Astyanax mexicanus: one gene and its partners. The protein of the gene in region 2 binds, or shares a complex with, the protein of the main gene of each other region. Links are inferred from orthologs where the notes say so. Each region holds a gene or a part of one and is shown on either strand. Other genes may lie near its edges.

Region 1 (10,702 bases), on a different chromosome or scaffold from region 2:
GCATAGCAATTTAGCCAATGACAGGACGGTAAACAGTGCGTGTGATTTGATTCACATTTATTGACTCGTATAAAATGATAAGAATAATCATTTACAGGGTTCAGGCCGGGATATTCTGAATGATACTGTCTGAAAAAGTTAATTGATAATCTTTACAACCTTGAACTGTTTAATTTACTGAACAGAAGCTTAGTTATTATAGCTTAGCCAGTTATTTCTGTGCTCAATTGTAGGAAACTCCTGCTGTGCACTGTGCATGTTCACCTCTGTACTTTTTATTTTATCTGCATCTAATAAATAACTGTAATAATACTCTATTGTACTCAGAGAGTCTTCAAGGGAATGGAATATAATCTGTGCAGGATCCTCAACTCCTCTCTCAGTGCTAATCTAAACCCATTGACCCCTGATTAAAATTAGTACAAATGCACCAACACAGCTCACTTTTTATAGAGCTATTTAAATATTAACATTTTATTATATAATATTATAGTCTTTATGGCTTTTAGTGCATCATAGGATCATGTGATGCAGCCTAAATTATTACATATTTGTTTGCCCTTAATGCTATTTTTTACCCTTAAATAACTTTTAAATTTATACTTTTTATACTCTTCCCGGCCTGAATTATGTTCCAGCAATAAAAAAAATTAATAATCCTGTTGTCTGTCTTTAATTGCAGAAATTGTATTTTTAATGTTGGAGTCTAGATTATGTAGTTATGTAGTATAAGAGCATGTATAATAATAAATAATGTATAGTAACACCAGTAGCCCCTCCCTCGCCCGCGGTTAAGGCGGTCCTTAACGCGGCGAATCAACCAATGTCGCACCACAGATATGTATAACCGCAGAGCCTATTGGGAAAACACTAAACCTGTCCTATTTATAGTATGTTTAAACTATAATATCACCATCTTATAACACACAAAACCTGCCCCCGCTCACAGAAACACGCGTTAATTGTGTTTCTCTTAAAGAAACTAAATCAAATGTAGTCTACACCCTGAATGATAATCCACAGATCCTGCCCGGGTATATTACCAATGAATGGACACTTTTTCTGCTGGGTGTGAGGGCGATCTGGCTGCGACATCTGTTACCCCATTGATCGCTAGGGTTGATTCGGCTGATCTGGCTGGCTAGGCGGGTGTCCCCTTCCTCCCTCACCGCTCCATGTGTGTCCCTCCCGAAGCTCCGCGCTCGGTGGAAGAGGACAGGCTCCCCGGCGGACATCGTTGGTATACGAGTAGCTGAGTACTCCCCTGCTAGAACCTCCAAACAAGCTCAAGGCCCATTTGTAGGAGAAACGTAGGGAAGTCAAGCTCCAAGACTTCAGTCACATCCAAATGTGGCACTGCACGTGGCAGTCTGCCTTCCTTTTTTCATCACAATATTACAAAAAAGCTGAAAATCCTGAAATAGAAAACGATAATCTAAGAGTGACTGTGTAATTATGTCTTTTCTTTACAGTAAATTCAACGTTCACATATACCATTCCATTCACAATATCAGACAACACAGCCCACAGCTGTCAATCACTACATCTCCACACTACTTTATATTTTACAAAATAACTCATATATACAACGTTGGTGGGGCTTAACATTTTATCTGATTCTAAAAGTATTTTAGGTTCATTTGAAAATATAAAGCGCATTCAAATGTGGTGCTGCACGTGGCAGTCTGCATTCCTTTTTCATTTTTTCATCAAATTACAATATTACAAAATAACTCAGCTGAAAATAGAACATTAGCATCATTAGCATTAACATTAACAGAATAGCATCCTAACAGCATGTAGTGTTAAATCTTTAGCTACAATGTACAATGTATCTAAAATTTCAAGAACAGTTTTTTGCCATAGTAAAATTATTATTTTACTAATCCTCCACTAACCGAAGCTACAGATACATATTAAACTTACAGCATGTAAGTTACAGACTAAAGACAACATTAAACCAGACACACACTTAAAAACCTATATTTATACTCTCAAGTCTAAAAGTGACTGTATAATTATGTTTCTTTACAGTAAATTACAGTAAAGATTAAGAAAATTAACTCATTTATAATTCATATATACGGTATACAATATCAGACGACACAGCCCACAGCTGTCAATCCCTACATCTCCACACTACTTTATATTTTACAAAATAAATCGTATATAAAACGCTAGCCTTCTATGAGCTGTGCTGTGTATGACGCCACCCAGCCACCGTACCATGAGCCGCCTGTGACGTCACCAAGCTACCGTTCCACGAGCCGTCTGTGACGTTATCTAGATACCTGTTCCCCCTAGGTGGCGGCGCTCTCGTCGATGACGTCATCAAAAAACAGACTATAAAAGCGGCGGAGCGTTACGTCATCACTGGCCACTTTACTGCTTTGCTTTCATTACTTCACTCCTTTCATTACTGCTTTAGTTACTAATGGCGAAACAGAAGAAGATACGAAGTCGCAGGTCGAGGGGAAACCCGTTTAGGAGGATATGGGAGCGGTGGATGCGGATGAAGGCTCTGAGGAAGTATGAGGAGGAGATCTCTGAGAAGATGGAGATTTTAAAGTATCAAGAGATCAAGTTTAAGGCGACGGAGTACAGGACTGCGATGCGCGAGCAGCGTGCTGACTGGCGCGAGCAGGATATTGAGTACCGGGAATGGAGGGTTCAGGAACTGTCTCAGGAGCTCGAGCCGAAGAGGCAGGGCTTCATCGACCGCCACAAAGAGCTGACAGTGCGGGAGAGGCGGTGTAAGGAGCAGGAGCGGCAGTTTGAGAAGCGGGAGCAGGAGATTATAGAGATGGAGCAGAAGGTTAAAGAGTGGGAGAAGGAGATGGAGGAGCAGATAGAGAGGGAGAGAGCCATGTTTCCTCTTCTTGTGGTGAGGAAAAGGGTGGTGCTGGAGGAGCTGAAGGAGAGAAGCACTGCTCCTGCTCCACAGCCCCCCAGAGGAGGAGAAAAAATACACTGTATAGTTGTATAAATCAACACAAAACTACAACACCTCAAAAACAGCTAAAATAAAAGCCTAAATAATAAAAAGAAAAATGAATGGTTCCTCCCTCCGCTCCGCTCCCCTGTGCGCTGCTGCCACGGACATCTATGTATATAATATTTAAATATAGCGTTAGTATATTTGGATAGCATAAAAACACTTTGCCAACCGCATAGCAACCGCTTTGCAACACCTTAGCACAACCACCACCACCACAGACACCATAGCAACGCCTTAACAACTACCTAGCAACCACCAAGCAACCATAACAGATACCATAGCAACACCTTAGCAACTACTTAACAACAGATTAGCATCCACCATGGATACCATAGCAATGCCGTAGCAACTATCTAGCAACACCTCTTTTAGAAAAATACAATGTGCATGCATATATGATTTTTCTGTCATAAATATCAATTATTGGAACAAGCACCATTTATTTTAAATAAAGCTTTCTTGAAAAAAGCTAATTATTTAGTGGACTTGCTTTTAAACATGCTTTTTAAATCTCACATGAGTTTTGTAACCATCTTTAGATTAGAAACTTGTAAAAAAAATAAATAAAGCTGCCTCTAAGTTTGAGAATGTTTTGAACAGATAAATATATGTTATTAGAAATAACAGATTATTAGATTTAGTTTAAGCAGACTGTGTTTGTCTATTCTTGTGACTCAGATGAAGATCAGAACACATTTAAAGACCAGTTTATGCTGAAATCCAAGCATAATCCCAAAGAGTTAACATACTTTTTCTTGCAACTCTCTCATCACTGGAGGGCGCTCTAACACAACAAATGGAGCACAGACCATAAACGCATAGTAATCACACATAGGTTAATAAAAATACGTGCTTTCATGCTGAAATACTTTGTATTTTGCTCTTTAACAAAGACAGACATATGGGATGGCATATTAATAAGTGTATTAATACATTAATTTTATATTCATATGTGCATTCATACGATAGATGGGATTTTAATTATGTTGGGTTATTCAATTAATCCATTAATGGCACTGCACTCAGCATTCTGCCTTATATTTTCAAATTAAACTCAAAAATACTTTTAGAATCAGATAAAGTGTTAAGCCTCACCAGCGTTTTATATGAGTTATTTTGTAAAATCTAAAGTTGTGATGTAGTGATTGACAGCTGTTGGCGTTGTCGTCTGATATTGTGAATATTATGGTATATGTGAACGTTGAATTTACTGTAAAGAAAAGACATAATTACACAGTCACTCTTCGATTTTAGAATATAAATTTTTGGTTTAATTTTGTCTTTAGGCTGTAACTTACATGTTGTATCGTTTTATATGTAGCTTGTTAAGGATTACAAAAATAATGATTTCATTAACACTACATGCTATGCTGGGTTATTTTGTAGTTTTGAATTTCTGAAAAAAGAAGGCAGACTGCCACGTGCAGTGCCACATTTGGATGTGTCTGAAGTCTTGGAGCTTGACTTCCCTACGTTTCTCCTACAAATGGGCCTTGAGCTTGTTTGGAGGTTCTAGCAGGGGAGTACTCAGCTACTCGTATACCAACGATGTCCGCCGGGGAGCCTGTCCTCTTCCACCGAGCGCGGAGCTTCGGGAGGGACACACATGGAGCGGTGAGGGAGGAAGGGGACACCCGCCTAGCCAGCCAGATCAGCCGAATCAACCCTAGCGATCAATGGGGTGACAGATGTCGCAGCCAGATCGCCCTCACATCCAGTTAAGAGAGTGTCCGTTCTTTGTTTATATACCCGGGCAGGATCTGTGGATTATCATTCAGGGTGTAGAGCACATTTGATTTAGTTTTTTTTTTTTTAGAGAAAAACAATAAACGCGTGTTTCTGTGAGTGGTGGTAGTTTTTGTGTGTTATAAGATGGTGATATATAAGCTTAAATACAGTATAAATACGACAGGTTCAGTATTTTCCCGGTAGGCTCTGCAGATATGCATATCTGTGGTGCGACATTGGTTGATCCGACGAGTTAAGGACCGCCTTGGTGGGCGGGCAAAGGAGGGGCTGCTGTCTCGGCCAGTCAAAGTGACGTAAGCGGGTTGTGTTAAACGTGAAATAGAGGCAGCGACGCGTCTTTAATGCCTAAAACCCATTTGTTGTACAAAAATAGACATATACAGGTTAGTTTTCTTTATTCTTTTAGCAAAATACTTCAATTTACTTTGTAAAATTAAAGGAATCGCCGTGACAAGTGGATAGTTAATATATTTAATTTGAGTTTTTATCCGTTTAGCTCATTTCACTTCCATTCATTGAGGACTCGCTCGCGGGCTCCCTCTAGCGTTTAACAGGGCAAATATAAAGTGCGTGAACTCTCAATGAACCAGTTCTGGTTAAAACACTGTGTGTGAGTTTCCTGCACAGAGAAGAATTAAGTCTTGTCGTAAAGTAAAAGTTCCTTTTAATGTAAAATCCCCATTCAGAATGCTATGAAGTCCAAGACTAGGCTTAATTCCTGTATGTAAAACCCTGTTGGTTTACGATTATTCAAATGTTACCATTCCACTAACAAACTACACTTAGATGATCAGAAACTAATAGGCTTACATTTGTTTACACTGAAATGCTGTGGACATTACATGTGTAATTCCTATAATACAGCATACATGAAAACACGAAAGGGTATTGAAGCACATTTATGTATTTTAGATATTTTTTAGATTTATTTATTTCGGTGGGTTTTAAAGGCTAGTTTCAGAAGTGTTGACAGTTTCCAATAATTCCAGTCAACGATCGATAATAAAAATAATAATAAAGCAAATATTTAATTATATCTTTGGACATTTATCCAGTTTGACAATGATTAAACATTTATAAACTCTGATTTTGCTCAATTGCTCCATATGAGCCTATTCATTTTGGACTCGCGTTTTGGAGCGCCCTCTAGTGGTGGAATAAAGCTGGAAGAGGTGGTTAAGTGGGTATTCTCCTCTGTGGAGAATCTGTGGCAGAGTTTGTTGTCGCGGGAAATTTCTTCCTGCAGCAGAATTTTGTCGTCATAAATTACTTATTTTACTTCTGATTATGAAATCATAAAGTCTAATCTCAGGATGTCGGGACGCTTTGATGTTTTCCCGCGCTTTTCCTGTGAGGAGTAAAGTTAAGTTCAGGTAGCTAACTAAGCTAAGCTAACCTAGTTGTAGGCTTGTGAGCTGGACTACTGTCTGTTCGCTTGGGTTAGCTTAGCTTAGCTTAGTTCAGGTTTAGTTTATCTTAGCTTATCTTATTTTAGTTAGTGTTTGGACTGGCCCTCTGCTCTCGGTGATGGAGACGGGTAAGGAGAGGGTGGTCGCGCTGGTGGATATGGACTGTTTCTACGTGCAGGTGGAGCAGAGGATGAACCCAGAGCTGAGGAACAAGCCCTGCGTGGTGGCTCAGTACAAGACCTGGAAAGGAGGAGGGTGAGGGGGGTCTTCTCTTCGCTGTCTTCTCTTCTATCTCCTGGATCTTCATTCACTAATGTTATATTTTTGTGGTTTTAGTATTATAGCTGTGAGTTATGAAGCTCGGGCTCACGGGGTCACCAGGAACATGTTCGCAGACGACGCGAAAAAACTGTGTCCAGACCTTCGAGTCGCCAGAGTGAGAGAGTCTCATGGCAAAGCTGATCTGACGAAGTAAGTTCTCCCCTGTGGAGCTGTAACGTTATTTACTGTATAGTCCACGATGCTGTGTATATACTGTATATGTAGTCCATGGTGCTGGGTATATAATGTATATGTAGTCCATGGTGCTGTATATACTGTATATGTAGTCCATGGTGCTGTGTATATACTGTATATGTAATCCATGGTGCTGGGTATATAATGTATATGTAGTCCATGGTGCTGTGTATATATACTGTATATGTAGTCCATGGTGCTGTGTATATATACTGTATATGTAGTCCATGGTGCTGTGTATATACTGTATATGTAGTCCATGGTGCTGGGTATATAATGTATATGTAGTCCATGGTGCTGTATATACTGTGTAGTCCATGGTGTTGTGTGTGTGTATACTGTATATGTAGTCCATGGTGCTGTGTGTGTATATAATGTATATGTAGTCCATGGTGCTGTGTGTATATACTGTATAAGTAGTCCATGGTGCTGTGTGTATATACTGTATAAGTAGTCCATGGTGCTGTGTGTATATACTGTATAAGTAGTCCATGGTGCTGTGTGTATATATACTGTATATGTAGTCCATCGTGTTGGGTATATACTAGTACATCTAACAAAACTACAATATCAAATATGAAAAGTTACTTCATTATAGTTCTAATTATACCTTGTGCATCCTTTTTCATGATATATTCATTATATCCACAGACATTTTATAAGTAATTTCTGTATGGAATTTTATTTATATTTTTGCACCACAGTGTTTAGTGACCTAGTGTGTCTTTGCAATCAGTTATAGGGAAGCCAGCGTGGAGGTGATTGAGGTCATGTCCCGTTTTGCAGTGATTGAGAGAGCCAGTATTGACGAAGCCTACATGGATCTTACTAGCAGCGTACAGAAAAGATTGAAGGATCTGGCGACGGAACGGATTGAACCCCACCTTCTGAAGGCCACATATGTACAAGGATTTCCTCATAGCACAGAGGAGCTTCCAGAAACTGGGGATAAAGGTAGTCAACAAGATCATCTCATATCATTTTAGAAAGAATACTGAATACTAATAATGTAGGAATGCAGTTTAAATGACGATAATTTTTAAGCTAAAAGAAGAGATGGCACAGTACTGATTTTCTTTGACACAGATTTTGGTATAAATTAGATATAGATGTGATTTTTCTTAAAAAAAAAAAAAAGACTTATTATTATTACAATGCCAGCATACCTTCTTTAGGCATGATTTTATTTATACTTCTTTTGCCTGTAAACACAGAGGAGCAGAGGTCTCGGGGTCTGCACCAGTGGCTGGACTCGCTGCCGCCCTGTTCTCAGACGGACTGTGCTGAGCTGTGTTTGGCTGTGGGGGCGCTGATTGTGGAGGAAATGAGGGCGGCAGTGGAGAAACACACTGGATTTCGCTGCTCTGCAGGCATTTCTCATAACAAGGTGACTGTTCTTTTTTAGTTAAAAATCCAGGTATTACTAGTATAAGTTCTATTCACCTGTAGCTTTAAATTAAATCTGTGTTTGCAGGTTTTGGCAAAACTTGCATGTGGTCTCAACAAGCCCAATCGCCAGACCGTCCTGCCTTTAGGATCAGTACCTGAACTCTTCGGGACGCTGCCTATCAGTAAAATGTAAGACATTTCACAAATTGACTGGGTGGATGTTTTTTTTCTTATTTTTATATATATATATATATATACATACATATTTGTTCATAGGGTTTTAGGAAAATAGCCAGCACAATTCTAGAACAGCTCGGGGAGAAAAAAATTAAGAGACCACTTTATTATTATTGAAATAACTTGAACAAAATACACAAGTATTAAGTGGCCATAAAAAGGCCTCAGAGATTTTCCTTTAAAATGCATCTTTTCAAGTTTTTAAATAAAAGCATTAATGGAGGAAATAAAATAAAAATAATATAAAAGATTAGGTTTTTCAGGGTTAACTGGACAATTGTGCTCACATCACAGTGTGTGAAGGAGCTTTTTTTTTTTTTTTTTTGTCTTTTGTCTTTCAGCCGCAACCTGGGAGGAAAGCTTGGTGTTTCCATCACAGAGACATTAGGAGTGGAGAACATGGGAGATCTTACTCAGTTCACACGTGTCCAGCTGGAGGAGCACTTTGGAGAAAAGACAGGGTAAGAACTGGAACAGTTAGTTTGATGTCGGATCGGACAACCTTGTGCACTTTTGTATTTTCCTTTGTGAAATAAAACAAAAGTTTATTGGTTAATTGGTTAATTGTCACATATTGAAATAATGTTTTTGTTAATATCTGGGAAAACTTTACAGTACAAACAGCAGATCTGTTTCAGTAAATCATTTATAATTATAGTCTGTAATACAAAGCATGCTATTCTTTAGCTTAAAATATTTTATTCAATAAAATTGGAAATATATTTATAGAGGTTAGTTTATCCTAAAACGTCTAGTCTAAATCTAATCTGCCAGGCCTAATAAACCACACTACACTATTATTGTATCTCTCCCAAACACAGAGAAATACTAGCATTAAACAAAATTAACCATGATCTTAACTATGATAAGTTACAGAATTGTTGTTGTGCATTGTTGTTTTTAGTCTGTTTATTTAAGAAAAGATGCATATTTAAAGGGGAATCATTTGTATGAATATTTAGTAACGTATTGCCAAAGTATCGGATCGCAAGCCTCAAATGCTTTATCTTTCTTCAGGCAGTGGTTGTACGATTTGTGCAGAGGAATTGAGTTTGAGCCAGTGAAGCCCAGACAGCTTCCTAAATCCATCGGCTGTAGCAAGAACTTTGCAGGAAAGACTGCTCTAGCTACGAAAAAACAGGTAATGTTTTACCTAATGCTTTTTTTAGTATGTATACACTATGCATAACTGTTACATGTACTTTTAATCCCTTTCTTTTTCTTCCTGAGAAGGTCCAGCACTGGCTGCACCAGCTTGCCTTGGAGCTGGAGGAGAGATTGAATAAGGATCGAGAAATGGTAAGGGAACATTTTCAGTTTAAAGCAGTTTTACTGCATTTAGTGTTTCTCCAACATCTCCCTCTTTACAGAAGCCTTTTTATTCTTTTCTTAACTCTGTAGAACGGTCGAGTGGCCAAGTTGCTGACTGTGGGTGTCCGTCAGGCTGGAGATAAAAGACTGAGTAGCTTCTCCCGATGCTGTGCTCTAGCCCGCTATGAAGCTTCAAAAATTACTGCTGATAGCTTAGCTATTATTAAGAGCCTTAACACTGCTGGCAGCCATCAGGAGGCATGGTGAGTATTTTTACATTTGTTTGCAATATTTACTTACCTACAATTACACTTATATAGCACCTTTTTGCCATTCAAGACACTTAAGGATGCTTACAATTACATTCTACACTTACCAAACATACACTGGTGCGAAGCGTCAGCCAATCGCACAGAGCGTACTCTCAACCAGAAACCACTGTCCATTTGGAGGAGGACTGCATCCAGTACTGAGGAGTTGACCCAGCACAGAGTGCCAATCCATATCTGGACATAGACAATTTTTTTCATACATATTTACACACACTTACATTTTAAACCTAAAAAACACCCATCCTAAATAAACATAGATATGCCAAATTTCATGGGACAAGTATTGTGTCCCAAAAGTATTTGCCATCTACCGTGGAAGCTGAAGAACACTTGACTGCTTTCATTGTGGATGTGATTTCTGTATGTAAACCCAAAATGTAAACCCAAAAATCAGTGTTTTAGAAAATTTGAATATTATACTTGACCAGTTGGTACTTTTGGCAGTGTGGGCAGTGTGCCAAGTCCTGCTGGAAAATGAAATCCGCATCTCCATAAAAGTTGTCAGCAGAGGGAAGTGCTGTAAGATTTTGCGGGAAAACAAAACTGCACTGACTTTAGACTTGATAATAAAACACAGTGGATCAACACCAGCAGATGACAGACATGTCTCTCCAAACCATCACTGATCATCAGTAAATTTTACATTTCATTTAAAGTAAATCAAGGGATCAGAGTCTGGAGGAAGAGTGGAGACACACAGTCCAAACTGCTCGAGGTCTAGTGTGAAGTTTCCACCAATCAGCTTATCTGTAATTATCTAA
Region 2 (10,303 bases):
TGTGCTTAGCACAGTGAGCAAACAATGCTAATGCTGCTCCAGCAGTGCTAGCCGGGGTTATTAGCAGGTTTTAGGCTGATATACTCCCCTCTGAACAGCAAAAGATGTAGTGCTTAGCACAGTTAGCAAGTAATGCTAATGCTGCTCCACCAGTGCTAGACGGGGTTATTAGCAGGCTTTAGGCCGATATGCTCCCCTCTGAACAGCAAAAGGTGTAGTGCTTAGCACGGTTAGCAAACAATGCTAACACTGCTCCAGCAGTGCTCGCGAGGGTTATCAACAGGCTACAGGCCGTTGTACTCGCCTTTGAACTGTAAAAGACCTAGTGCTTAGTATGGTTAGTGGCTAATGCTAATGCTGCTTCAGCAGTGCTAGCAGGGGTTAGCAGCAGACTACAGTCTGATATACCGGCCTCTGAACAGCAAAGGATCTAGTGCTTAGCGTGGTTAATGGCTAATGCTAATGTTGCTCTAGCAGTGCTAGCCGGGGTTATCAGCAGGCTACAGGTCAATATACTTGCCTCTGAACAGCAAAAAATCTAGTGCTTAGCGTGGTTAGCAGGTAATGTTAATGCTGCTCTAGTAGTGCTCACCAGGGTTATCAACAGGCTACAGGCCAATATACTTGCCTTTGAACTACAAAAGATCTAATGCATAGTATGGTTAACGGCTAATGCTAATGCTGCTCCAGCAGTGCTAGCAGGGGTTAGCAGCAGGTTACAGTTCAATATACTCGCCTCTAAACAGCAAAGGACCCAGCTAACGCTAATACTGCTTCAGTAGTGCTAGCTAGGATTAATAGCAGGCTACAGGTCAATATACTCGCCCCTGAACAGCAAAAAATCTAGTGCTTAGCGTGGTTAGCGGCTAATGCTAATGCTGCTCCAGTAATGCTAGCCGGGGTTATCAGCAGGCTACAGGCCGATAAAACTGACCTCTGACCGGTGAAAGAGCTAGTGCTAGCCGGGGTTATCAGCAGGCTACAGGCCGATATACTTGCCTCTGAACAGCAAAGATCTAGTGCTTGGCGTGGTTAGTGGCTAATGCTAATGCTGCTCCAATAGTGCTAGCCGGTGTTAATAGCAGGCTACAGTTCAATATACTCGCCTCTGGACAGCAAAAAATCTAGTGAAAGCATGTTAAAAAAAATAATGTGTGGCAAGGACTGACGAGTAGGAATGAGAAGACAATACTGCATATGTATACTGTATACTGTCTGTATACTGCATATGCCATGTCTCACTGCAAGAGACTCCAAAATACTGCCATAGTTCATTCCAAGATAAAAATAATCGACACCACCTGCTGCATTAGCAAAGCCACCAGCATTGTGGATGACCACACCTATCCCTCACACTCTCTTCATTCTGATGCTGTCTGGCAGAAAATAACAGAGCATCCGAGCCTCCACTACCAGATTCTGCAACAGCTTCTTCCACCAGGCGGTCTGACTCCTCAACACACAGAAATGGAACTGAGCTTGGCTCATGTTGAACCATGGTGCTGGAGGAAAGTAATTTCATTGCACTGTGTTCTTGTACAGTTTATTCCAAATTAAACTCATCTCATTGTGCTTCCACTGGTACAGAGGTCAGTCCTAATCCAGCCTATCCACATCATCAGTGCTTTTACTACTACGAGTGCCCTTATAGATGTATATGTTGAAATCTGGGGGGGATGCTCCCGTAGGAGAATTTCTTAAAACAGCCTAAAATTGTGTTTGTAGAGGTTACTCAAGAAAATAAACTCTAGGAAAGACCTGTTTATCACTTTCTACTGCTGCAGGGTTTGGAGCATCAGGTTAGTGTACCAGATGTTCACGGGTGGTTGACATGACATGGCCTTATTTTCATTCAGTGTGTCAAATATATGTAAATTATAGAAGAATATGTCAAAAACTGTGATAATATTGTTCAGAAAGTGCTGTGCAAACCAGAAAACGCTCACATAATAAACCAGATGTCTACTTATGAGTCTGCTTTGCTAAAAGTTTGGGCATAATATTTTAGAGCCCCCATTAGCAAAAACATTTTGTCCCAAAAATAAAAGTCATATGGTGATGCCATACTCCTTTTTTTAAACGGGCTATTGTTTGGACACCTTAAGAGAGTGGGGGTTCTCCTTCTCTCAGGATGAAGAACAACACCTCAGAAGGACACTAAAGTTACAGGATGTGTTATCGCTCTTTATGTTTTCAGAAAAATCAAGTATATCTAGCACTCCTGCTTCAGTTCCATTTTGCACTGTCATATGTTGTGACACATTTTACACAAAAATGCCAAATAAATTACTTTTCAGTCAATATTACCTTTAAAACTATATTGTCATTATTGTAGTTAGCATGGTTTTATGATGCTAGCATAAAGACACATTGCTTAAACTCATGCTAAGTACATGAAACGTCATATGATTTAACACATCATACGGTGTGACAGGGTTTTCTTATCACACCATATAACAATTTTGTCACACTATAAGATATAAACTGAATTTAAATACATAAATAATGCTATTAGATACATATGTTATAGCTAATAGTTAAGTGTTTTAAATATTTTATTAGTTTAACACATTTTTATAGTATATTATTCACAAATGTAATATTTAAACAGCAACACTCACTCATTCATGCAGATTCACTGACTTACTCAGACTTCTGAATGCAAAAGAAAAAGTTTAATCTTACCCAATTGCAGTCCACTGTATCATAAACCTATGGTTCTTCTGTTTGTTTCTTTAAGTAGAAGCCAAATGTGTCACAATGTTTAGTGGCACACTGATTTTAGCAATACATCCACAGCCATTTGCGGCCCGTTTTCTTTTTTTGGAGCGGCCCGCGAGGTATTTTAGAAATAGAATGAAAGTTGGCCCGCTATTAAGCAGGTTTTTATAATGTGAGATTCAAAGTTTGAATGCTAGGTGTCAGGAACGGGCCAAAGAGTCTAAAAGCGGAGAGAGTGCACATTTCTAGCGCAGAAAAACGGGCCAAATAGTCTAAAAGCGGAGAGAGTGCGCATTTCTAGCGCAGAAAAACGGGGCAAAAGAGTCTAAAAGCGGAGAGGGTGTGCATTTCTAGCAGAAAATCGGGCCAAAGAGTCAAAAAGCGGAGAGGATGCACATTTCTAGCGCAGAAAAACGGGACAAAGAGTCTAAAAGTTGCCATCATTAAGGAGTTAAATATTAAGAGACATCATGAAATTAAACATCAATTTGAAAAATATTAATTTTCTCAACATTGTCAAAGATAAAGATAGTAAGTCAAGTAAAATGGTCTGTAAATGAAATAATCAGGAAAAAAGTATTATTTAAAGTGGTATATTTTATTATTTGTTTTATTACAGAGTTTACAAAGTTTGGACACCCCTGTCATAGGGTGTGACATTCAGGATTTTAAAGAAATTAAGGATTTTGGTTATTTATCATAAACTTTTTTATGTGACATATGAGGAATAGTGCCAGCAAAGGTTACAAGAATTTTGGCACTTTTATAATAAGGTATTCCCAAAATAATTTCAAGTATATTGAAAGATTTCGATGAAACGTCTTCCTATGTGTGTAGATAATAAAAAAAAAATGCAAAAGGTAACATATTTGCATGTAAGCAATGCTATACTTTTATATAGTAATGATAAAGAATCAGGATAAATTAACGTACATTATCATATTATACCCATTTTTACTAAGACTGTAAAGAGTGTAAAGACTGTAAATTTCAAGAAAAAAATTATAAGACCATATATAGATTTGGAAAGATAAGGGTTGGTACAATATAACCCAGTGATTTCCATGACTTAATTTTGAGATTTTTTTTTTCAGTCAAATTTATCAACCACCCACAAACTGTGAAGAAACACATCCAGCAACAAACTATTAACAGTGCCCAAAGAATCATCAACATCCAGCTGCAACCCTCTAGGGATATATAGCTCCTGCTAACATCCCAGAATCTCCACTATCAGCCATCAGTGAACCAACACACCAACAGGATGTAAAACACACAGAGGATGCAGTGGGATCTAATTAAGATCAGTGTTTATCAAACCACATGAAAGTAGACAAATTTAGAGTTAGTTCTGAGGTAAGAAACATGTGTGATGTGATTTTAAACATGTGATGTCAACAGATGATTATAATCTGAATTTGGTACAAAAGCAGTATCCATGAATAGCTCTTTGAGAAGGAAAGATGGGCAGAGTATCTCCACTTTGTAATAAATGCATCACAAATGTATTTAAATATCTTAAAACAATGTTTCATGAAGACTGAAAGGGATTTGCGTATTTCTTCCTCTAAAGTGCATATTATCATTAAGCTGTTCAAAGAAAATGAGAGAATGTGACATAAGCCTAAGCTAAACACCTATGATAGCTGATAGAACCACATGGCCAAAGGAACTATTTTGGCCAACTTTTTCCATCACTACAATACAGAGTTAATTAAAACTTTACTGTACAAAACAGAGGCCTTATGTTAACCACGTCCAGAGTTGTTTATTACTAGGACATGTATGAGACACTCATCAAGTGAGAAAATAAAACAGTACAGACATTACAGTAAAAACCAATAACTACACCTTTACAGTATATATATACCCTGTAGTCTGCTTTATTTAAACAATAACTTTAAAGATCATTCCAAAACAATTTGGAATAACAAGGTTTACACAATTAAACATCTAATTTCTGTTTTGAAACTTTTGTGCAAAATGAAAAGTTTTGTTGTGTAAATTTGGAAAAATATATAATTGCATTGGTAGATGTTATACTTTTTGTTTATTTGCACTTTTGACTTTATTATAAAGCCTTACATCTAAGGTAAAAAATTAAGCTGTATCAGACTGACAGCCTGTTGGGACTTCCAGCTGTACATGCACGGTGATAACACCGGGGGGCAGCACAGTGTTTGTGCTTTGCTTTGACAGTCACTCTAGGGCAGATCAACATTAACGTTAGGCATATAAGTCTCTATATAACTCTGTTATGTCTTATTGTGATTAGATCTGAATTTTAAATCTTTTTATGCTGTTTAATTTTTTAATTTATTTATTTAATCTGAAATCTGAAAGGTTTTTTTGTAAATATTCAGTTTAGCCACTGCGACAACAGTAATGTGGGCCACGGGCCGGCAGGTGGCGCTGTGAGGGCAGCGCAGGCCCGGAGAGTCTGACCTGGCGCGCAGGAGGCGGAGCTTCAATGGAAACAACGAGAGGAGGAGCCGGAGGAAGGAGAGGGGCTACAGAGAGCGCTGAACGGCGCCTGGCGATGGAAAGCGGAGATTATGAGGGGAGAGGGAATCTTCTGAAGCCCCGAAAACATGCTCTCGATATCCAAAGACCCGTGTCTGCGCGGCTGTTCCGTTAATACTGGGTTAAAACACTGTTGAACGGTTAAAGTGGACGCCTCGGCGGAGCCTGGGAAACAGCGGCGCGCTGCTTCGGAGTCGATTATCCGGTAGAAAAGGGGAGAATAGGTGAGCAGCAGTATTCGCTTTTCAGATGATTCAGAGCCCCTGACACGAACAGAGAGACAGCCCACAGTCCAAACACACACCTGGATAAGAGCCGCTGCGGTTTGTTTGTGTTTGTCTGTGTCGTAGCTGTGTTGTTATGTAACGGTTATGTGTCGTTGACTTCAGCTGCCTTTTCCTCCAGTCTTTCTGTTCTCTGGTCTGGTGTGTGAAAGTGTGCTGTGTGTTTACAGCGCTGTCTGACTGGAGATTAACTCGGTTTAATCTGAATACCACAGCACCAGCCCGCTCCAGCTCATTTAGAGAACAATTAACTCGCTAATCTAACCTAGCTAACCCAACATAACCTAAACGGCCCCTGTCTGATTTAGCTAACGTTAGCTGGCTATGTGAGCTAACAACTACACACAGCACTGTCTGTCCGCTAACCCAGCTCTCTCTATATATATTATCCAGTGTCACCCTTCGCTCTGGACATGTGTTTAAATATGACCGCCATCGTCAGTCCGCCCGGTAGTAGTAACCTTACTCAGTCCTGCAGGTCAGTAGTTGGCATGCCCAAGCTTGTCCTGGTGCAGCTCGAGTCAGGCATTAAACCAGTGTGACTGACATTATTTATATATATATATATTTATGTGTGTGTGTGTGTGTGTGTGTGTCCGGGTGGGCTGGACAATGAAACGTAGAGCTGAATTATGGTCCGCGTGTGACAGTTTGTTTATGTTCGGGAACTTGGACAGACTGCTGGTACACCTGCGACCCTGGTGACCCCTTAAGCATGTGCTGCTTTCAGTAAAGCAGTCAGTGCAGCCGAGCTGGGCAACGAGGATCAACAGGCCGATTTAAATAGTTACATGAGTACTGCATTAATGCAGATGTGGTTATTAAATTAGGTTTTTAATGGTTCTTAGTTTGCATTATTTGCATTTATAAAAATAGAATGATTGTGTACAATAAAATGTCAACAATTCATGATATTACATTTTTGTATCTCTCCTAGTTGGAAAAAAAATTATATTTACTTATTTTTTAACCCTTTATTGCTTATTATCATAGCTAATTTGTTTGTTTGTGTGCGGGAGTATAAGCTCTCAAAAAGTAGGGTAAAATATATGAAAGAAGAAAACTGGCAAGAATGACTGCAATGGAGGTCTGCACATACAAACATCTAAAATATTCGGAAAAATAAATATGCCAGCTCAGGTAATTTCATCATTCAAAGAACGTCAGTCAGAAACATAGGTTGTAAAATAATGTGTGTTGAAATGTCAGTGAAGTAAATATGTTTGTTATTGTCCAGTTCATGTCCAAATGTTATTTTGTATTACTCCAGGTCCAACTAAGATATTGTTGATATTTGGCTTGTGTTAATTTATAGTTTCCTAAAAGAGGTCTTTATTTGGTATCTTAAATGAAATTTACATACCTGAATTATAATTATTTTTTAATCAATGGTGGGTATAACACTAGGCGGCCAGTCACTAACAGCTTAGTACACTGCCAGGATCACAAAACCCAAGATTAAAAAATAAGATTCCAGAGTGCCTGGCTAGGGAATTAATTGAGAACCGACATTTAGATCCTCTAAGAAATGTAATAATTTTCCATGTATGGTTTTTATATTACTTATTTTAATACATTTTGTTAGTAATTATTGCTAAAATGTCTGTTAATGCTAATACACCCTAAACAGCTAAGCAAAGAAAAAAAAAAAGCTAAGAAAAATGCAATGGTGCATGAAATACATGAAAATATCCATTCATTATTTGTGTGTAAAATAATCAGTGAAAATGTTTGTTGGTTGTAAAATTCATTTGACATAATTTTGCCCAGAACTTGTGATTAGGCATCATTTTATTCATGGCACAACAAGATGTGTGGTCTGGACGGTAGGCAGACGTGTTGATACTGTGGCTGCTGACAAAGGAATTAAGTTTGCTAAGCCACTTTGAGGCTGAGGCAGTGTTTTAATGGAGATTGAAATGAGGTTAGGATCATTTATCACTGACATGAACATCTTCTGGATTCAGAATGCAGTTGTAATTGGTACCGTCTAGACATTTAAATACTTTCTCCTCTTGAGTCCAATAGATTTTGTTACTATTTTTTTTTTTTTACGTTTTTAATGTTGTGATCTTAATGTATCAGATGATTTGGGATGTTTCTTTCACATTAGCTATTTGTTTATATGTTTTATACGATTGAACTGTAGTTATTTTTTCAATTAACAAAGAGCCTGCCGAATTTTCTTACTTATGTTTTAAATGTAATTTCAGTAAAGTCAGATGCAGCAGTTGGGGTTATGTAGAGAGAGTCAGGGATGTGTAGTGGGACTGAACAGTGCTTTGTGCAGTGCAATGTGGTGGTTGTTGGGGTGTTACGTTCAATGAGGTGTGCAGCTATATTGGCAAAATGGGCTTGATGGCTGCTGTAAACAGAATTGATCTGATCTCAGGCCCTTTGCTGTAGTCCAGGGGTCTGCTTCTCGATTTTCTCTTTCACTCTGTTCATTAGATTTCACAGATGCTATTTAGGGCTAGTAGAGTAGTTTGATAAGGATATACTGTACATATTTGGCTTCATTAAAAGTGGAGCCATAAAACCCAATCCGCTACATAAACATTCAAGTCTCTATCTCACTATTTAGCATGGTGCCCAGTGCATACCTAAACCATCACAGAGGCAGCATTTTGGGTACAGATAAAATTTTGTTTATTGTTGTTGCTGGTATCAAAACCTTGATATCTTGCTTAAATCTGCTCTGGTGAGGAAACTGTGAAACCCAGCAGTTCACTGAGTGCTCCCAGCCTCAGTGTTTAACCTCCCACTCAAACGCAGCAAGTGTGCGAGGAAAGAGACAGACCCTGGGAGGGATGTTTGACTTTACTGAGGAGAGTATTTGACTGATGAGAACAGTAGCGTCTGCACCATGTCTGTGTGAGTCGGAGGCATGGAGATTCAGTCGATATGGATCCCTGTGGAGAGAGAGATGATGTGTGTTTCTGTGTGGCTGTCTGGTTCTGTATCTGTGCGACATGTGGCAGTGAGGACACTCGCAGCATAACAGAGCAGGCTGAACAGTGACATGCAAGAGAAAGGGGGTGGTTCCCTTCTAACAAAGCTCATTCAGCATCAGTGTGCTGTTAATAAGCTGCCAGCAGAGGTGTTAAACTCCCCTGCATTTTTGGATGGAGCATTCCATACCATCGAGGGAAGAAGATAAGAGTCTACAGTAGAATTAGAGAGGCATTTTTCTGTCTGATAGCTTGCCTGCCTGCCTGCCTGCCTGCCTGTCTGTCTGTCTGTCTTATTTCTAAACTAGGATTTAGTTCTGCCAGTATACACAGATCAGTCATAACATTAGCACCACCTGCTTCATATTGTCTAAAAATCCCTTGTACCACCACAACAGATCTCACCCTTAGCAGTTTTTCTGCTTTTTACACATCACACTCAAGAACTGACTCTTCATTTGTTGCCTAATGTTTCCAGAAATTGATGACTAGGATATATTTCTGATTGTAATATGTTGCTTACCCTAAATAATCTAAGCTTAGGTGGCAGCATTGTGTTAATGTTCTGCCATGATCATTATGTTATTGTACAGTTTATAGACAAGACCCCATTTATATTTTGTGCCTTTGTATGGGGCCTTTGTGAAAAAACATTGTTTTTATTTTATGTATGCTTTATTTATTGGATATTTCAAAATTAAAAAGTGTGCAGTTGCTTTATTAGGCTATTATGTTTGCATTATATAAGTGACATTAAAATTACAATAATATTATTTTCCTTAGTTACTTCTGGGACAGTGTATCATCCAAACAAAAAAGTTCCAAGGTTACATTTACCTACATCTGGAACATAAATTATCAATTATACCGCCACATAATGAAAATGTACGAAATCATAGTTGTATCTTATTTCATTTAAACATATTACTTTTGCATAAAAGTATTTTTAGTAGGTGTAGTTGAACAGATGCATAGATTGATACGATAATGTCAGGACACACATATTTAATGAGGGGAAAACACATTGGTGTAATTGTGGTACCATACAGCTTCAGGGTACCAGCCTAAATCTGGCATCTTTTCTTCTTTCTCAGGTTCCTCAGCATGAGTCGAGATGGATGGAGGAAGAAAGCTAGTGAAGATGATGGCTGGGGAGGACGGGTAAGATCACTGCATTCCAAAAATGTGCCTTAATGTTTGTTCCAGTTAATTTTAGGTGTGGAGGGGCGTGTTATGAGTTGTTGGAGTTGTCTAGACATTTTCATGTGTATTCTAATGGTGAGTAAACTCAAAAGTAAAGCCTTCACCCTACACAAGTACACAAGTTTGTCTTGAGATGTTACTGTACATGTATTTGCAGTATTTTAGTTTTCTGGCTAAAGCATTGCTGCAGCTGCTTATATATTCTAAGTTTTTTTTAATTGAATATGTTCCACCTTGCAAGCAGCTTTATATTAAATGTGGTACAAATATAACCTTCAGATATATTATAAAAGTCACTGCTACATAAGAGTTTTTTTTTTTATACAGTTTTTTGACAGAAGCACAAGCCTGTCTGCTGTTAGACTTGGCATCAGGGTTAAGAGATGCCCCTGTTTAAAAATTTACAATGTACCCCTTTTTGAAATTAGCGTTAAACAGTAATTTAAATAAACCAAATTAATTGTCAATGAAAATCGCTCAGCACTAGTATGTGGTCTGTATGGAAGGCCTGGATTTTCCAGATATGCATTTCCAGAGTGTATTTTGAGACTTTAATTAAATTTATGTCTTTGAATGTCTGACTGGCTTAATTAGGTCTGAAGGAATTTTGGGATTTTGGGA
Region 3 (10,240 bases), on a different chromosome or scaffold from region 2:
CAGCGGATAGTGCTATACCTGCAAACAGTCAAACAAATTACTGAGAATGCCACCTGCTAACATAACATATAAATAAAACATTTCAAACTATTTTTTTCCATGCTATGTACATATCTGCTCACCAGTGACTTACAAAGATTGTCATTTTAACAGGTTTAACTGCAATCTGCACATGTGCCATTTTTTTGGTTTCTGTGCAAAACATGTTATAAGATACTTTACTGACCCTTTTTCACATTTTCAGCTCAGGGAGGAGTCAACTAAAATCAGGGGGTTTAGTGCACCTTTAGACAACAACGAATAACAAAATCTCAAACTTTCCCACAAATCAGTTCAATTTGTTTCACTTTGGGAAAGAAATAGCTTTTTGACAAAATGCTTAATTTGTGGGGAAAAATTACCACCTACTTCATTAGAATAAATTAAGATAAATTATAATATGTTTATTTCAATATTCCAACATTTGTGAGCAGAATAAGATTTAAACAAAATCATTAACAGGAATTAGAGGTGGATCTTTTAAAAAATGATTTTTCATTTAAAATCAGTGATTCATACAAACCTAAGATTAATCTTTAAAATTAGCCTATTTTTCATGTGCGTAAAAGTCATCTATTTGCAGAGTTCCAAAACATGCTTTAGCGTTAGAGAAGCTCAGCTAATATTAGCAAAAAGATTTAGTTTTCTCTCACTAAATGTTATAAGAGTCTACTAAACTACTAGACAAGATGCGTCTTATTTTTAGTAATTCACATTTAGCTAGCAAACAAGTTACTGACTTTTACATTCCACTTCAAATGCACTGGCAGTTACATTCAGAGTAAGAGAAAATTAATCCAAGCATTGATTAAATTCACTCTTTTCTTACACTGAAGTTCTGTAGAAGTAAATAAGCTGAATGCCTGATTACATTACATGGACACTCTTGTTATGATATGGACACATTGAATAACAAAAACAGAAATGCATCTTGCTTGGGTTAATTCTTCAGGTAAACACTTATAATTTTAATAATGGTAGATTGGTTGTCCCTTATACAATTATAACATTAGTTCTCTGAAAGTCTCTTTCAAATCTGAACAAAAACAATACACTATAACATTCCTAAAATACATTGTACTGAATTAAACCAAATCAAATTGGGACCTTGTGAATTGGAATTGATTGATTGATTCTAACAGGCCCTAAAAGGAATGTTGTCATAATCCCCATAATATGCATGGAAACAGATCTTAAATCCCATACTTGTTGCAGTTTTTCAGGTTCTCTTTCACAGCATCATAGTCTGTACTGTAGAGTGGGCCGCTATCCTTCAGCTCAGCCTTCTGGACACTGTACACATGAACACTAATGGTTTTATCCAGCTTGGACTTCGTATCTAGAACAGATAAGAACATAAGAGAGGAACGGTGTAAAGATCTACTCAAATTTAAATTGAATTGTGTAGGTTGAACATTATACATGTTAATTTTTTTCTCTGAAACATCAGAAAAGATAATCATACCATCAAGCTGATCTTCACGCACCACGGACACCTTATGACACTAAAAGGAATAACAGAAAATATTTCAGGTAATAAAAGAGAAAACATTTAGGTATTCAGAAAAGGTATTTAGGTATTCAGGTGTTCTAGATCACATTATATTGTGGAAGACAAGCCAATGTTGGTCGGTCTCATGTAATTCTAATAACCTCTTATTTTTAAATGCATAAAGGAGGTTAAAATAGGTTTTTAACCTGGGGGTCCTGATACACAATAGAGCGATGCTAATAATCAAGGGAGTTTTCTAGGGATGAACGATGATATTGGAAATATATCAGCATCAGCCGATAATTGCTTTTTTTAAGAATCTTTGGTACCGGCCAATGTGTAGAATTGGTAGATATTTCACAACGAAACTGGCCGACATTTTTATTGTATGTAGAAAAAGGACCAAGTAACACTGGCCTAGCAACTTTAAAATCTAAATAAACTGATTTAAGTTAATTTTGATTTATTTTTATTTGTTTCAATAAATATATGGTTTTATTTAACATGTTCATTTAGAGGGTATAAAGCTGTGAACGGTCTATGTAATATATATAATAAATAAATGTGAGGGGGGAGAAAAAAAAAAATAACATATTTAAGCAGGAGACACCTCAGGTTCAATTCCAGGTCTGGGTGTCTGGATGCTATGCTACACCAATTAAAGACCTTGGGCGAGACTCCTAACACTACACTGGACCACCTCTGTAATAGGACTAATTTTGTAAGTCGCTCTGAATAAGAGAATCAGTTAAATGCAGTAAATGTAAATAATGTGCAGTAACTTTTTGTTCCTGTGAATCAGGATTTTCTGCACTAAAGCATCTTTGAAACACAAATACAGATACTGCAAAACAGTAAAAAAATGATTTGCTAAATCACGTGGAACATCTTTGTTTACAGTAATAAACTCTGCATAAAAGAATCCTGGTCTCCATACTCACCACACTCCCATTCTCACTGCACTTTCCGGATACAAGGTAGGTGGCATGCAGTGTGGTTCCAGACCTCTCCTTGCGTCTCTGGTCTAAGTAGTGATAAAGCATCCTGCAATACATGAAAAAAAAGCTATGTCTGTCGGCCCACCTCAAACAGCCTTTACTAAAAATAAATAATAGTATAGCCATATACTTACTGTTTAGCCGTGTTGACATGGACTCCCAGAGTAAGACTGAGCCATTTATATGTGACCTGTGAATATAAAAGAGGAAAATCCATCAAATATAGCAAAACTATTTTTCACAACACATTTTTTTTTTTTACTTTATTGTTTAAAACTGACCAAGATTTGAAATTAGCTATTTTTAATGAAGCTTGTCCAAAGAGGAGCATTTCAAGTCACTTTCAAAACAAACGTAGCACAATGCCAGAGAAATGTAGGAGATTCCAGCTGACTTAACCGGAATCTCTAGCATTTCTTTATGTTTGAAAGCCCGAAACTGCAGAGATTAAGCTAGAGATTTGTTGCTTTTTGCAAGTACCAGGATGAAAAAGTGTTTCTAAGATTCAAATCTGAATTTGATTAACTGCATTTACATAATGAGCGGCATGCTTTCTTATTTTAATTTCCCATGTTCCATGTTCTGTGTATTATAGCTTGATTTTATATCCAGTTTAAAACGTATGATTTTATGGTGTGGGATTAAAATAAGCACTCTATCAGCCCAAGGTTATGTTAAAGATGTGCTTTATTCCAGCAGGTCAATGCTCGTCCACACACTGCTGCTTACAGAGGTTTTTTCCTACATAGTAAATGAATAGTGAAGTGATCCAGACTATAAAGCAACACATAATTAATTGTGTAGTAACTTAACTAAAACGTGTTAAACTAATCAGGATACTCCCTCTTGTTTATTACTGCTTAAATGTAACGTTACTCTCTTCAAAAATATATGGAAGCTTGGTTATGCTTAATGTATTATTATTTCTGTATTGTTATGGTTATGTCAGGTGCACTTAATGTTCTTAAAAGGACAATAACATTGTTTGTCGCATTAAAACAGCTTTAGAAGCTTATCTAGCCAAGTAGCCAGTAGGGGTGGGCAATATTATATCGTATACAATATATCGTGACAGAAATATCATGATATTAAAAATCCATGTCATGATAATAGGGCTGTTCTGTCTTAAAAGTAGTCTATTATTTACTGTGAAGCTTTAGGTGTATTTATTGTATAATTGTTTTAGTTTGCAGTTTATATGCATGCACTAAATATTCTGCAATATTATTTGATGCATTATATTATTTTATGCTATATTATTTATTTTGCCACATTATGATTATTCTGTTATACTCTTATTCTATATTCCTGAAATTAATAAATTATTTTAGTTTTCCTATATAGCCCAAGTATATCGTTATCGCAAAAATACCCTGAAATATCGTGATATTATTTTAGAGCCATATCGCCCACCCCTAGTAGCCAGCTTGTATAATGGCATTTGGTAAACTTAGATAATCTGGAAACCTTCATGTACTTAGCTTAGCTTGCAAAGACTGGACTTTTCAGCAGGAAAATATGCTAAGCTAACATAGCTAGCTAACTAACTAACTATAGGTAACCTAGGTTACTAACATAGCTTAGCTAAAGCTAGCTAGTCAATCACATTGAATAGTGGGTCCAGTGATAACACCAGCTAATGCAAGCTAAATTAGCTAGGTTAACCGTATTTTTGCAGGAAAATAAAAAAAGCAGTTTTCCGTAGTGTTAAACTAATAAAACACCCACACAACCCACCACCTCCAGCTCTAAACCAATACTGAACACTGATCATGCAGCGTTCCCCAACCCACACCCCAGAGCTCACAGCTATTAAACAGACACAATCAACCAAGCAGCGCCCACTGCCCTCAAACACAGCGCTCTCCTGAACATCAGACACTTACTATCTTATTCTGATCGTTCACATATTCGTCTATGTTGTCTAAATACAGATCGTCCATCGCAGCGATAATCTGAAGCAGCTCCACTCTGCAGCTCCGAAACGCGGGAAACTTTATTTACTTCCTGTCATGTGCGCGCGGACGGGAAGGGGTGCGTTCACTGCCACCCGCGCTTCAGCGAGTTGTTATAAAAACAGACCGTCTCTGATTAACATTTAGGGCCTCAATAATTATAGAGAATTGGTATTAAGTACACTGCTAAACATAAACGTTTTTCTTGCAAAATAATGACTTACTACTATTACTCAAAATAATGAGATCTCAGAATAATTATTTACTATTTTAAATATAATGACTTACAATCTCAAAATATTAAGATTGTATCTCCAAAAAATAATGACTTAAAAATAGTGTCTCAAAATAATGACTTACTATTTCAAAATAATGAGATAGTAGCTCAAAATAATGAGATACAATCTCCAAATAATAATTTACTATTTTAAAAATAATGAATCTCAAAATAATAAGATAGTTTCTCCAAAAAATGACACAGTATCTCAAAATAATGACTATTTTAAAATAATTATATTATCTCAATATACTAAGATAGTATCTCAGAAAAATGAGATATCTCAAAAGAATGACTCAATATTTTAAAATTTAAAAATGAGATATTATCTCAAAATAATGATTTACTATCTCAAAATAATGAGATAGCAGGTTAAGTAAAAGTAAGAAAAAAATGTGCTGGATTTTTTTTTTTTAGGTGGCGGGAATGGGCTTCCATACCAAACACTTACATGTAATTTGAATAAAATATAGTAAAATCTATGAAGTTCATTTGTGCCACTTTTTACACAAAATGAAGCATTTTATTCATTTTTGCTATTTGCTATTGTCTGATCATCACTCTCAGGCATTTTAAGTGGGGATAAAATTAATTCTGAACATAGCAAAAATTTTAAAACCTTCTTATTACATATTTTTAGTGATAAACTTTCCTTCCCTATCCATTATATGTACAACTGACCAACATCCCTTTTCATACAGTGCTGAAAACATAATTTTGAAATCATTCTCCAGTTATAAACCTTTTAAACCTGCCCTCACTGTAACTCAAACTAAAATATATTTAAAGTTTTCTTTGCTTATTTAGTAAAATACATTGTAATACTTTATATAATTAAATGAATATCCTACACATGTGGATAGTAACTATTTTAAGTTTTAGCTCCTTTGACCCCCATTCATTTTGGACTTCTTGTGGCTCACAGTAATATTCTAATATAACAATGGAGAAAATAAAAAAAACAGTCAAGCAGAGAAATAAACATTTATGCCTTAAATATTTTATTTTATAAATCTGTATAATTAAAATTCATTTTTTTTATTTTGACATTTAAATCTGAATTTGATGAACTGAATTTAACCATTGGTGAAGCATTTTGTTCTTATTAAAAATTACATTAGATAGCTTTGAAATAAAACTGAATTAAACTTAGTCTTACATATACAATACTAATGATAATTGGCAATCAATTATATTTGCTTGTATAAACAGTCCTTTGCAATAATGATATATTACTTTAACAACACATTTCTTTATCCTGTATTGTGCAATACCAGCTTTTTGCCCTCAACTGAAAATATAAATATTTATTAGTAATTGATAAAATAATTGTCCTGTAAATTAAATTAAGCCAAAAAAAATAAAGTAGGCTTCACATTGGATCACTTTAATATATGTAGGGAGCAACTTGATTATTAAGAATATTTAACAGTAGATTACAACCTAAAACTACTACAATATAATATATATATAAAACAGTATGAGACTTTGTGAACATCATGAACAAGAAATCTCTGTCTCCTTAATTAACTTAATGAAAGTATTTATTAAACAGTATGAACAAAACAATTAAACAAATATCAGAAATGCTGTAAACCTGCATCATGTTTAATAATGCACAATATCACAACAAGCATTTGCAAATAATCACAAAAGCATCTATCTGAATAAGCTGGGGGTCGACAGTGGCCTGTAGATACAATCCCACACTGGACATCTCAGGCCTGATTAAATAGCAGTACTTCAAAACATGCAGGTTATTGGATTCACATGATGGGCGTCACTTCAGCAGATACACGCTGCTAGGATTTAGTTGATAGCATTCAGAGGAAGTGTGATACGCAGCATCTGGTGAAAAAAACAAAACATGTATTTACATATCTGTGCATTGTCTTATTCATTGCATAGTGCTCAGAAATATTGGTATTGCTTTTGACATTCAGTTCTGTATCCTGTTGTTATGTTGAAAAACCATATATTCCTACCATAAAGATGCGAATCAGATTAATAAATGGTTGCCTATGTAAAAGCTAAGCTATGAGTTGTGCCTTGTAAAGCTATATTTGTAGATGCTCAATTGAAATGTTGTATTGATCTTCTTCTCTCTACATGGATATTTAAGAAATTATGTTTGTGCTGAATTTTATAAAGCATTAGTCAAAGGTTTGGACACAACTCGTCTTATTCAATGTGTTTTCTTTCTTATTATGTTTTTTTTACATTGTAAATGTAATATTGAAAATATTAAAGCTCTACAGGAACACATGCTGAATTATTCTGTAAACAAAAAATGTAGCACATTTATCTTTAAGGACTGATCTGCACACTCTTGGTATTTTAATCTCAGTATCTTCATGAGGGAGAGTCACCTGGAATAGTTTTCTCAGCGTCTTGAAGGAAGGAGTTCCTGGAGGTGTTGTTTTATTTACTGTTTACTACGTAATTCCATTTGTGTCTCTTAATTGTTTTAATGTCTTTAATATTAATCTACAATGTAGAAAATAAATACATAAAAACACTGAATAAGAGGGTGATATGAATTAGAATATTAAAGTTTGATGTTGAACAAGGTCTATCTGAACTTGTATTAAATCTGTATTTAAGACTTTAAATTGAATCCAGGTGCAAATTAATCTAATGTAGAAAATTCAAATAATGCTGCACAACCCGTTTCAAACTTTTGGAGTTTTTAGTTTTAATTCCTCTGCATTGTGCTGCATGTGTTTGTCTCGTTTAAATGTTACATGTTAGAATTCTGTGAAAGTGACTTAAATAAAACTGAATTGAAATCTTTAGATAGATCTAGTCCAAAAACAACAACTTTTTTTTTACTTTTTTTAATAATTTAGATTTACAAACTTTTAATCCTATTGGTACAAAATTATTCCATAGGTATCCTAATGCATGGCATCCCCTTGTTCTGTATTTGAATAAACATTGATGAATATACAGATGTGTTTATATTTATTCTAATAAGAGACACACACTTTATTTTATTGTTTGTGTGCACACAGCATATGTTATGTTGATACCCTGGATTTGTAAAACTCAATAAAATAAAGTTACAAAAAAAACAAAAAATAGTAGTATTGTAAGTACTTATCATAACTAGGGTATATTTTATAACAGAGTGTTTTAACTCACAAAGAGCCCTTTCCACAGCCTAGTGGTCCGAAGTAGAGCTCTGAAGGCAGACATGTTCCTTGTCGGCAGACTCCGTTCAGGCTGGCACAGCTCCACGGGAAGGACGCCGCCTCATTCTCTTTACCTTCAAAAATAAAATGCAGTACTGTTTTGGTTCTGTACAGCTAAGACACAGCTTGAATTCATAATAATCATAATAGTAATTGTATTTATTTTTACATACAAAAAAAGATACTGTTTAACCATGCTAGAATAATTTGAATAAGCTGAAGATTAACCATATTCATCTTATCAATGACTTTATTACTGCAGTTCTTCACTTGTCAGACCTCTAATTCTTCTCTTCACTGCTAAAACTCAGTTCAATCATGTTAATCTGAGCTAAAGGATAAAGCTGTTTCCATGTGGGTCAGCCAGACGTCTTCCTGTAGCAGTTTTCTCCAGTTTACAAGAGTGTTTAGAAGGTGTAGGAAACAGTACTCACCGCTCTCTGGCTTCATCTGTAATTTCTCTAAAAAAAGACTTTTACTTTTAATAGTTACAAAGTTCTCTGTGTTTCTGTGTCTTTTTTGTGCTGTGTGCAAGTGTGTAAATGCTGCAGTAGAGACTAAGACTTATTAAATTTTGTTTCTATTGCTACCAGCCAACTGTAAGCTGTTAAACAATTACTTGTTTCCTAAAAAGCCACTTTCCTCTATTCTTGTTTTTTTTTTTTACAGTACACAAATTTTCCTGTTTTAAGTTATTTTTCCTCAAACACCCAGGCGTTTTACTGCTAACTTTTTAATGCTATTTAAGTTTACTACAATATTCAGGATATTCACTGGATCTGAAGAACTTTTGACCTGTAGTGTACTGGTATATGGACATGTCTATATGAGATAACATTGCATTGCATTGGTCAGTGTGTATTACTTGAAGCACTGACGAAATCCACAGTATACTTGTAAAGAAATGCGTTTATCATTATACAATAAAAGACACAATAAAATATTACCGTATTGCGCAGCTTCACCTACAAAACATAGTAAAAACATGATATACTCACAGTACAGAGCCAGGACAACCAGCAGGACCAGAACCAGTGCGCACTGAGGCTTCATGCTTGCTGTTGGTGTAGAAATCCTCTGAGGACCGTGACCATAACTGCAGTCAGACAGTTTTATTCTCAACGTATTTCAGCGGGAGGAGAGACTCTAGTGAGGTCACTCCATTTTGGACTATAAGTTGAAAATTGGATTATGTTGCTGCATGAATAGCAATACTGTTCCTAATCACATTTGGTGAGTGGTTATTCATGGCAGGGCAGGTCACGCAATGTGTGCTGCAGCCAATTACCACAGTGGAGAGAAAATAATGTTTTCACCTGATCTCGCACACATGCTTGTCCTGATGGGGACAATTTCCCTCTAAACATTTTCTGAATCCCAAAATGCAAAGGCCTTTCAGGGGAATGTGATATTAAGACCACTGCAGGGCCAAATGAATACTAAGTACCGATCTGTGCTGAAGCGAATAAAGTTTCTAGTTAGTCTGGTTACCGTTTTCTGTTTTTATTTGTGCTGTTGCTTAACCAGGTCCAGGAAATGCATGGAACAGAGCATACCAGCTAACTAGCTAAATGCTAAATTGAGAACTGTGTGTTTTTATACAGCTACCAGCCTCATCCTACATTACTACCAGAAGTCAAAGTCAAAGTGGTTTTTATTGTCATTTCAGCTACATACAGAGTACACAGTGAAACGAAACAACGTGCAACAGTACGGAACAATAGTGCAACAGTACAAAAGTGCAGACAGACAATACAAAACAATACAGACAAAGAATAATAAATAACAAGACAGTGTGCAAATTTTGCAGTGTGCACAAAAGACCAGGTGAGGTAGTAATTACTCTATTACACAGTGTGCAATAGAGTCCAGTGAGGTAGTAGGGTTTTTAGTGCTTTCCATTTTCTGGGGTAAGTGGGGTATACAATGCAGAATACAGCATTGTTAATGCTATGTTAGTACAGGACAATTTATACTTGCTATACCTATTATATTACTAGCAACCTATAATATATACTACCTATAATACTTCTATGTGTACCCTTCACGTAGCCACAGACCCTACGCCACACTCTATACCATAGCCCAACATGCACCTCCCAAGAAATGTGGACAAGGACACACAAACACAGAAGTATAAACACAATAGATCTTAATGTCGTTGTCCACTCTCATCCAACGTTACTAACAACACATTAGAAATTTTATTCAAAGTGCAAAAAAAAGCTGCTTTCCAAATGTTTGTGGTCAGCCATCCAAATTAGGGATGTGGCATATCATATTGT

Evidence for each region.
Region 1: the proteins of rev1 (region 2) and polh are in contact, whole or in part, in an NMR structure (PDB 2LSK), measured with the Homo sapiens proteins. The link is inferred for Astyanax mexicanus from reciprocal best matches to the Homo sapiens genes REV1 and POLH. Residues at the interface, in NP_057400.1 of Homo sapiens: Asn1158, Leu1159, Ala1160, Gly1161, Leu1171, Leu1172, Trp1175, Ile1179, Asp1181, Pro1182, Met1183, Glu1185, Asp1186, Gln1189, Val1190; in NP_006493.1 of Homo sapiens: Thr528, Glu529, Pro530, Phe531, Phe532, Lys533, Lys535, Ser536, Leu539.
Region 3: the proteins of rev1 (region 2) and pold3 are in contact, whole or in part, in an NMR structure (PDB 2N1G), measured with the Homo sapiens proteins. The link is inferred for Astyanax mexicanus from reciprocal best matches to the Homo sapiens genes REV1 and POLD3. Residues at the interface, in NP_057400.1 of Homo sapiens: Asn1158, Leu1159, Ala1160, Gly1161, Leu1171, Leu1172, Glu1174, Trp1175, Ile1179, Met1183, Glu1184, Glu1185, Asp1186, Gln1189, Val1190; in NP_006582.1 of Homo sapiens: Gly232, Asn233, Met234, Met235, Ser236, Asn237, Phe238, Phe239, Gly240, Ala242, Ala243, Met244.

The regions. Positions count from the first base shown.
Region 1 is NC_064414.1:2,689,221-2,699,922, reverse strand, and holds the start of polh (DNA polymerase eta), read left to right. Parts: upstream 1-5,905; 5' UTR 5,906-6,274; coding exon 6,275-6,411; intron 6,412-6,492; coding exon 6,493-6,627; intron 6,628-7,408; coding exon 7,409-7,626; intron 7,627-7,886; coding exon 7,887-8,059; intron 8,060-8,146; coding exon 8,147-8,250; intron 8,251-8,639; coding exon 8,640-8,759; intron 8,760-9,315; coding exon 9,316-9,439; intron 9,440-9,531; coding exon 9,532-9,597; intron 9,598-9,699; coding exon 9,700-9,872; intron 9,873-10,702. UniProt on the Homo sapiens protein: DNA polymerase specifically involved in the DNA repair by translesion synthesis (TLS). Due to low processivity on both damaged and normal DNA, cooperates with the heterotetrameric (REV3L, REV7, POLD2 and POLD3) POLZ complex for complete bypass of DNA lesions.
Region 2 is NC_064418.1:24,902,547-24,912,849, reverse strand, and holds the start of rev1 (DNA repair protein REV1), read left to right. Parts: upstream 1-5,190; 5' UTR 5,191-5,468; intron 5,469-9,573; 5' UTR 9,574-9,583; coding exon 9,584-9,640; intron 9,641-10,303. UniProt on the Homo sapiens protein: Deoxycytidyl transferase involved in DNA repair. Transfers a dCMP residue from dCTP to the 3'-end of a DNA primer in a template-dependent reaction.
Region 3 is NC_064424.1:5,730,114-5,740,353, reverse strand, and holds the start of pold3 (DNA polymerase delta subunit 3), read right to left. Parts: upstream 4,549-10,240; 5' UTR 4,473-4,548; coding exon 4,416-4,472; intron 2,720-4,415; coding exon 2,664-2,719; intron 2,576-2,663; coding exon 2,473-2,575; intron 1,545-2,472; coding exon 1,505-1,544; intron 1,379-1,504; coding exon 1,246-1,378; intron 19-1,245; coding exon 1-18. UniProt on the Homo sapiens protein: Accessory component of both the DNA polymerase delta complex and the DNA polymerase zeta complex.